Linked DNA regions of Nothobranchius furzeri. The protein of the gene in region 1 binds, or shares a complex with, the protein of each later gene. Links are inferred from orthologs where the notes say so. Each region holds a gene or a part of one and is shown in the gene's direction. Other genes may lie near its edges.

Region 1 (4,395 bases):
GCCGGTGCCAGTCGTGGTGGCAACCCCCGTACCCGCTGGTGGACACCAGAGGTTCGGGGAGCCGTCAGGCTGAAGAAGGAGGCCTACAGGGCGTGGCTGGTCTGTGGGTCTCCGGAGGCAGCAGACAGGTACCGGATAGCCAAGCGGGGTGCAGCAGTGGCAGTTGCCGAGGCAAAATCTCGGGCGTGGGAGGAGTTTGGTGAGGCCATGGAGAAAGACTATCGATCGGCTCCAAAGAGGTTCTGGCAAACTGTCCGGCGCCTCAGGAGAGGAAGGCAGCAACTCGCTCACACTGTTTACAGTGGGGATGGGGAGCTGCTGACGTCAACTGAGGCTATAGTCGGACGGTGGAAGGAATACTTTGAGGAGCTCCTCAATCCCACCAATGCGCATTCCGAGGAGGAACCAGAGCTGGGAGGCCTGGGGATGGACTGTCCGATCTCGGGGGCAGAAGTTGCTGAGGTAGTCAAACAACTACACAGCGGCGGAGCCCCGGGGGCGGATGAGGTTCGTCCTGGGTATCTCAAGGCTATGGATGTTGTAGGGCTGTCATGGTTGACACGTCTCTACAACATTGCGTGGTCATCGGGGGCAGTTCCTAGGGAGTGGCAGACCGGGGTGGTGGTCCCCATCTTTAAGAAGGGTGACCTGAGGGTGTGTTCCAACTATAGGGGGATCACACTCCTCAGCCTCCCTGGAAAGGTCTACTCCAAGGTACTGGAGAGGAGGGTCCGATCGATAGTTGAATCTCAGATAGAGGAGGAGCAATGTGGTTTTCGTCCTGGCCGTGGAACTGTGGACCAGCTCTATACCCTTGCAAGGGTGATGGAGGGGGCATGGGAGTTTGCCCAACCAATCCACATGTGCTTTGTGGATTTGGAGAAGGCTTATGACCGTGTCCCCAGGGGCACCCTGTGGGGGACGCTCCAGGAGTATGGGGTGGGTGGCTTTCTGTTAAGGGCCATTCAGTCCCTTTACCAGAGGAGCGTGAGTTTGGTCCGCATAGCCGGTAGTAAGTCGGACCTGTTCCCAGTGAGGGTTGGACTCCGCCAGGGCTGCCCTTTGTCACCGGTTCTGTTCATCACTTTTATGGACAGAATTTCTAGACGCAGCCGTGGTGTGGAGTGTGTCGAGTTTGGTGGCAGGAGAATCTCGTCTCTGCTTTTTGCGGATGATGTGGTTCTCCTAGCTTCATCCAGCTCTGACCTTCAGCTCTTGCTGGGTAGGTTCGCGGCCGAATGTGAAGCGGCTGGGATGAGGATCAGCACCTCCAAATCTGAGACCATGGTTCTCGACCGGAAAAGGGTGGCTTGCCACCTCCGGGTCGGGGGAGAGGTCCTACCTCAAGTGGAGGAGTTTAAGTATCTCGGGGTCTTGTTCACGAGTGAGGGTAGGAGGGATCGGGAGATCGACAGGTGGATTGGTTCGGCGTCTGCAGTGATGCGGACGCTGAGCCGATCTGTCGTGGGGAAGAGGGAGCTGAGCCAGAAAGCCAGGCTCTCGATTTACCGGTCGATCTACGTCCCAATCCTCACCTATGGGCATGAGCTTTGGGTAATGACCGAAAGAACGAGATCGCGGATACAAGCGGCCGAAATGAGTTTCCTCCGTAGGGTGGCCGGGCTCAGCCTTAGAGATAGGGTGAGGAGCTCGGACATTCGGGAGGGACTCGGAGTAGAACCGCTGCTCCTCCGGATCGAAAGGAGCCAGTTGAGGTGGTTTGGGCATCTGGTCAGGATGCCTCCTGGACGCCTCCCCGGGGAGGTGTTTCGGGCATGTCCTGCCGGCAGAAGGCCCCCGGGTCGACCCAGGACACGTTGGAGAGGTTACATCTCCAATCTGGTCCGGGAACGCCTTGGGGTCCTGCCGGAGGAGCTGGTGGACAAGGCCGGGGAGAGGACGGCCTGGAGCTCCCTAATTGGGATGCTGCCCCCGCGACCCGGACCCGGATAAGCGGAGGAAGACGACGACGACGACGACGACGAATTGCCTATTTTTGCTCATTTTAAATATATTTTTAAACATTTTCTAAATGCTTTTTTTATATTTTTACTTTCTTTGTTTTGTTTTTGTGAAGTGCCTCGTGATTTTTTATCTTGAGAGGCGCTATAGAAATGATATTTTCTTCTTCTTCTTCTTCTTCTTCAGTTCTTGCGATGTCTGGTATGAATCGATTTCTTGAGGTCTTTGGATCATTGTCCTGTTGCATCGTCCCATCTTCTGTTGAGCTTCAGCTGGTGGACAAAAAGCCTTAAGTTCTCCTGCAAAATGTCCTGGTGCAGCAAAGCAACCCCGAACCATGATGCCCCCACCACCATACTTCAGTTGTGATAATGTTTTGGTGTTTGTGTGGTGTGCCTCTTTTTCTCCACACACCCCAAACAACTCAAGTTTGGTTTCATCTGTCCACAAAATGTTTTGCCAGTACTGCTGTGGAAGATCCAGGTGCTCTTTTGCAAACTTTAAATGTGCAGCAGTGGCTTCCTCTGTGGTGTCCTCCCATGAACTCTGTTCTTGTTTAGAGTCTCACTTACAGTATATTCGCCAACAGGGATGTTCGCATATGCCAGAGATATTTTCTAAGTCTTTAGCTGACACTAGGATTCCTCTTCACCTCACTTCTGCAGTCAGGACGGCCCCTTCTACAGGGAAGAGTAGCAACAGTGCTGAACTTTCTCCACTCATAAACAATTTCTGTTACGGTGGACTGATGAACATCAAGGCATTTTGGAGATACATTTATAACCCTTTCCAGTTTTATGCAAGTTAACAACTCTTAATCATTGGTCTTTTGAGAGCTTCTTTTGTGCGTGGCATCAGGCAGTGCTTCTGGACAAAAGCAGGTGTGTGTTCTTTATTGGTCAGGGCAGCTTTAATCAAGACTTCTAATCTCATCACACTGATTGGACTCCTGTTGGCTGACACCTGACACCACTTAGCTCTTGGAGATGTCATTTGTCTAGGGTTGTCATACTTCTCCCACATGCACTGTGAATGTGTACTTGGTGTGTTCCATAAAAACATGGAAACGTATAACTGTTCGTGCGTTAGTTTAAGCAGACTGTGACTGTCTAGTGCTGTGACCTAAATGAAGATCAGGTCACATTTTATGACCAGTTTGTGCAGAAATGTATTTAATCCCAAAGGGTTCACATACTTTTTCTTGCTTCTTCTTCCTCAAATCTCTGATCATGCTTGTGTTCTAGTTTACGTTGGGGGGGTTTGAGGAGCTGCAGGAGATGAAGGTGCGTGGCCGAGAGCGTCTCTGCCTGACCCCCCTCCCAGAGGACAGTATCAAGGTGGTCAGAGCCATGAGAGCAGCCTCGCCTCCCGCCTCAGCCATGGAGCTGATCGAGCAGCAGCAGCAGCAGCAGAAGAGAGGCCGTCGCAGCCGCAGGGTACAACACACACACACACACACACATTTAGAACATGTTGGGTTTGATTGTGAACATTTCCGCTCATACACAACAACGTATGAGAGCCTGAGCAGTTTTCTCCTGAATCTTCCGTTGACGCGCTGATAAACATGAAAGCTTTGCCCGTTCAGACGGGGAAGCTTGGTGCTACGTTGATTTACTGTTGTGTTTCATCATGCAAATAAAACACGAGTAGGATGATGACGGATCAAAAAGAACACAAAGCCAAACACTGAAAGTCCAATCAGACCAGCAGTTAGGACCACATTTGGGTGTAAGCGCATTTTTATTTGTGGCTAAATGAAAAAACTTTCTAAAATCACTTCATTAGCGATGTGAATTGTTTGAAAATCAAACTTATACATCTCGACAAGTAATCATCAGAGGATTTCTAATTATTTCTAACAATGACTAGAAAATACAAAAAATATATGTAACACTCGCTTTTCTGTGACAGGTCATGAAAAATCAATGACTTTGTTGTCTTCACTCTGGTAAACAGTTTCATGCATTGTTCTCTTTGTAGGTCAAAGCTGTACGATGCTGTGTCCTCCTGAGGTCCTCATAAAGCTTTATCCCAGAGATTGTCCACAGATCACAGATGCTGATAATAAAAGCTACTTAAATTGAAATTTGAAGGTGAACATTTAGTCTAGGGTTAGGGTTAGAGAAGGAAATCTGTCAGTAAGAGAAACCCTCTGCAAGATCAGAATAAATATTTGTTTTATAGCAAATGAACGTGTTTTCAGTGTTATTTAAATCTGAGCCAACAGGGCTGAGTGCTTTTCTAAGAGAAGAAATCTAACGATGCAAAGCGTGAAGTCAGCTAATAACCAGCGTGATGCAAAGAAGGAGATTATTGCACTAAAGGAGTGACCGCTGCTGATCAAAACCACATTTCTTGTTACTAAGAGAAGGTCAATAACATTTAGGCATATTAGATGTTGCAGCTGTTTGTGAAGCATTTAGGTTTTCT
Region 2 (5,188 bases), on another chromosome or scaffold:
GCTGTCTTTGTCCTTTCAACCCGACTTCCAAAGTTGTCGCTTTTTAAAGGAGAACACTGTTTTTGAACGTTTTGAGACCAAAACTACTTATTTTGCTGCATTTCTTCAATTTCTTTGAGTCTTGTTTCTTTTGTTTATTCTAAAAAAATACGATGTTTGTTTATATGCTTTAGAGGAGTGTTCTAGTAAAACTGTGTTCTGAGTCCCCCCCCCCCCCCCTATTTCTGACAAGCATTAAAGACGTTTTACATTTTACATCTTTCTGGGTGTTGTGTTCAGCCAATCATATCGCCCTCAAGATAAAACCTTACTGGGGTTTTACTCAGACATAAATAAATAAGGCATCTACTTTCATCTGTTGCTATAAAGTGGAGTCAAACGGTCCTGTTTCAAGGTTGGATGTGGGGCTAAAACTGCCCATACACAATCATTGTGTTTTTAAAACATGACGTTTCTATTTTGCAAAATAAGTTTAAAGAAAAAATAAATAAATAAACATACAAGCATGCAGCAGAAAGGTTTGTAAAGAGTGAGGGGGCATTTGGGCTTCAGTTTCGTCCTTATGTCCCTGTCTATGGATTGGACATTAATAATTTACTTTTACAATTTTTGTGTTTATTTAATGTAAACTTCAAGCATAGGAAGATTGATGCCTATCCTGCTGGTTAGGATAGCATCATTTTGTTTCTAATGAATTAAAGACAAGTATTCTGTCTCCAGAGAAAAATGTGCTCTGAGGTCATATGTACCTGCAGGCTTCAGAAACCTGGAGCCTGACCTCACATTTCAGTGTGTCACTGTCCACAGCCTTTTACATTCCTTTAAAACAAGATAAGTAAGAGATTCAAGATATTTTTTTAACCAACACAAAATTACATAAGAAGATATTGGCCTGGCCAGCCAGCCCCACGCTTCCCTATGCTTCCTTATAGTTCTCTGTGTAGAATTACACAGTGAACAAGTCTGGCAGGCCAGGCTAGGGATAAACGTGACATAATGGGAATGGCCTGCTGGAATTTACAACAGCTTTTAACAAAACATGAAAAACTGATATGCATCTTGCTAATGTATTTTTTTAAACTTCCATTCAGTCTATAACTGAAACCAAACAAGACTGAACAGAAGAAGCATTATTTGCATTCATTGAAACTTTAACATTGGGTGTTTCGGTTTTAAAAAAATGTCATTGGTGCATGCATAAAGTTGGCTATTTTTCATTCAGAATAGAAACAAATTCGTTCTTGAAAATAAATGCATCGTCATGATGTGAGGGTGGAGATGGTGGACCAAGTGTGGTGGAGGGTTCCAGGAGGCAGAAGAGCAGGCACGGATGAAATAAAAATGGTTTAATTGTAGAATGGGAGAGACGGACAAAACAAACATGAACAAACAACAATGATCCGATGAAGACAGCAACAAGGAGGGAGGTATAAATACACAGGGAAATCAGGAACACATGGGCAGAGTAATGAGGGACAGGTGAGAACAATAAGGTTAATCAAGGCAGGAGAGACACAGTCAGGGAGGCCGGGGCGGATCATGACATGCATAGGAGATGAGATATTTACATTTTTGCACAAAACTCAAAAATTAATGTTTTTTTTAACATTAATGTAATCCAGCGGATTCAGCCTTTTACTATATTGCAAATATTTCAGCAAAATCTCATATTATTAACCCTTTGATGCATGAATTATGCAATCTTCAACCATGAATTTTTTTCCATGAATTTCATTCATCTTTAGGTGTGAATGAAACAAATTTCAACAAATATTTTTTGAAACATTTAATAATTTACAAATGGATTATTACACGTCCACCTCAGTGGACAGCGTGCATTCTGAACATGAAATATGTTGGCTTGACTTACTGAAGTCCAAATGGAGGGGCTCAAATACAATAAAGTCTTCAACAGCTGTGCTTAATGCAAAAACAAACAAACAAACAAACAAACAAATAAATAAACAAGCAAAAAAAAAACTATTTTGAGTACCTGTCCACTGTAGTGACCATTATGCATCAAAGGGCAATGTAGCTATCCCTTCCTTCAAATGATCTAATCAGTACTGTATTTCTTCTGGCAGTCCTTTTAAAAGGTATTGTCATTAGAATGTGTTACTGTAATAAGAAAAAACACTGATTAAAAACATTTTCATGTATATATGTGACCTCTGTTGTCTCTTTTGACCTTTATATTTGCTGCTATGTAGAAAATTGGAGAGCCATGTTTTTCTTAATACAACTAAAAGCTTTTATTTTCTCATAAACAAATCTTAATTAAACACAGAACAACTGTAATGTGCCTACGTAAAGCTACGTTTTCATCATACTTACTTAAATAGGCTACCGGCTTACGTCACGGTTACTTTAGCCTCCCCGCTCTCTGATTGGACAACGTGTGTTTACGTAGCAACGGTCCGGAAGATGTCGCTCGGGCCAGTCCTAAAAAACTTCCGCCTTAAGTTGTAAAGAAAACACAGCAGCTAAAAGCCAATCGACGGGAAAATCATCTTATTTAAGAAGTCAGCCCAAAGGTAGATACGAGTACGCCTTTAGGACGCACACATAAATGCACGTATCCGTCATGAAGCAGTTTGTTGACGTGTTTTAGCGCGTTTGTAAAGACAACCCTACACATTACTTGAGCTAGCACGGAAGCTAACGCTGTTCACTGCTACCATCGATCTAGTCGGCTAGAGGCCTCGAGTGAATATTATAAAACCGCGTAAAGTATGTAATGTTACACAGACACTTGTTAATTGATTGTAGTACCCCGATATCACAAATAAATCGGGTTACTCTGTTTTACCCAACACCGTTTAGTTTTCCGTTCCATACTTCTACTAGCTTGTAGCATTACCTTAGGCTATCATTTGATTTGTTTAGCTTTCCAGTAAACCAGCAGTCACTTCAGACACTCCATTAAAAAAAATAATATGTGTCATTTTCTCCATAACAAACCTGGACAATCACAAATACACAACATGCTGAAAATACATCAAATTCGTATGATTTACATTCAGCTCTCCTAATCTATTCTGTCAAGTATTTGTCAGTTTTAACTCATTTGCCTACGATGCTATAGTGTGTCCAAATAGTCCCTGTTGTTCAGAGTGAAGTTGTTGTGTAGACATTTAATCCGTGCTGCCATACATAAAACGTATGATTGTACCACTCCCCTCCTTCAGATTAAACCAGAATACAAAGGATCACTTCCTCATTATTAACCAGAACAGGATAGATTAGGCGGTCAGTACTGGTGAGTGTAAAGATGTATGTGAGGGTGTGTAATGACATGTTTGTGATAAACTGACATGATTTAATTTTATGGATGTTCTAATCGTACATGTTGATTGCTAATCATAAAAATAATTGATTTAAGATTATTATTGATTTTCATTCATAATCTTGTTATTGAACAATCACATCATTAGAAAGAGCATATTTAGATTGTATTTTTTTAAAGCCTGGTTTATCTGCAGCTTCTTTTGCAAATGTTTTGTGTTCTATTATAATGAAATTTATCTGGGTGAGGAAGTAGTGCTTATTTTTGTGTTTGAATAAGATAAATAGTCAGGGCAGTCGATTTTCAAGATTGTTGCAAAATCATGTGACATATCCAGTTCTTATTCAAATTTAAACGTCTAACTACAATTATCAGGGATGTGTGATCATCCAAACCCATGTTTAAACCGAACTGTGACAGATTAACTACTGTGATTTAATTCAGTCACATTGTAACTGATGCATGTTCTGCATTCCATCAACGTAAAAAGAAAATATGAGCAGATATAACTTCATTCATTTCCCAAAAATGTCCTTTTTCTATTTTATTTTTCAGGCTCTTATCTCTGGAACTTGCTTGGTTTCTGAGTGTGTGTGTGTGCGTGTGTGTGTGTGTGTGAGAGAGAGAGTGAGTGTGGCTGAGGAGCAGTTTCCTCTTCATCATTTTGACAAGAGCTACTCCTCCACTGGAGGATGACAATGGAGGAGATGAAGAATGAAGCGGAGACAAACTCCATGGTATCCATGACGCTTTACGCTGTGATGTATCCCGTTTTTAAGGAGGTAAGCCTTCCAATGTCAAATATGTTGCTTTATTTAATAAAAAAAAACGAATATGATGAGTGACAGAATTTAAGGTTAATGTATCAGAACAATGTGGGCACACCTGAAACAATTAGATTATTATGAAGCAGTGTAATATATTTTGTCACTCATTTCAGAAAGCGAAGCACCTAAATAGTCATTTCACATAAAATGAACCATTTCAAGCCTATAGTTCTTGTAATTTTGATTATTGTCTCATACAGATAATAGAAACCTATATTTCAATGTCTCCAAAAATGTGAATATTGCATAAATATTACACCACTTTTGGCAGGAAATGTCATTTGTTCTTTATCACATCAAGTCAATATGAGTGTACCCGTCGTCTAATTCCTACTGAAATGTAACCTTGCACTGCAAGATGAATCCTCGCGAGATTTGGAGTTTTCCAAACTCAGGAGAATCCATCTTGTACCGTTCCAGTTCAAACCGTCCGACCTCCGGCCTAAAATAGGCCGGACCAATCGTGTGTCAGCACTACGGCTGAATAATTAATTGCATATGCAATTAAATTGCGATGTGACAAAAGGAGATTTTCTAATCGCAAAGGCTGCGATTTGACTGGCAGCAAGTGGTTAGCGCAATGCTAATATACATAGAAAAGCCCATAGGGATGCTAATGCTAATATTGCAGATTACATTCTTACAAATTATGGCTTAGGAACGTGCCAAATATTTACATTTGGACACTAATAAAAAAGTAAAAACTGCCATTAATCAAATAAGTACAGACAGATATTTTAGTAAAGCTCAAAAAACTGTAAGAGACTTAAACTCCACAGAGTTTTGGCTAGCAGCTATGAACGTAGCTGAACTATGGAAGCTCTGCATGGACCAGACGTCAAAAACTGTAAACACAAAAGACCAATAAATGGGACACACTTCTTTCCTACAAATCAATTTTCACAGTTGATGCTAATACCTATGCTCCTACAAGGGATGTGCTCCTGGCTGCAAAGCATCGCAACTTCAAATGCAAAATGTTGTTGTTACTTGTTAGTATTTATGTAGACAAATAAACTTGTTGATATGATATGTAGATATATATGTAGATACATAAACTTGTTCATATTCAGTG

The links. Proteins that work in one complex are often made in the same cells at the same time.
Region 2: strip2 (region 1) and programmed cell death protein 10-B share a complex: the UniProt entries of both Homo sapiens proteins name them as parts of the core of STRIPAK complex. The link is inferred for Nothobranchius furzeri from reciprocal best matches to the Homo sapiens genes STRIP2 and PDCD10.

What each region holds. Positions count from the first base shown.
Region 1 is NC_091741.1:53,354,258-53,358,652, reverse strand, and holds part of strip2 (striatin-interacting protein 1 homolog), read left to right. Parts: intron 1-3,206; coding exon 3,207-3,398; intron 3,399-4,395. UniProt on the Homo sapiens protein: Plays a role in the regulation of cell morphology and cytoskeletal organization. Required in the control of cell shape. Calmodulin-binding scaffolding protein which is the center of the striatin-interacting phosphatase and kinase (STRIPAK) complexes.
Region 2 is NC_091758.1:24,841,541-24,846,728, reverse strand, and holds the start of programmed cell death protein 10-B, read left to right. Parts: upstream 1-2,096; 5' UTR 2,097-2,534; intron 2,535-3,841; 5' UTR 3,842-3,978; coding exon 3,979-4,068; intron 4,069-5,188. UniProt on the Homo sapiens protein: Promotes cell proliferation. Modulates apoptotic pathways. Increases mitogen-activated protein kinase activity and STK26 activity. Important for cell migration, and for normal structure and assembly of the Golgi complex.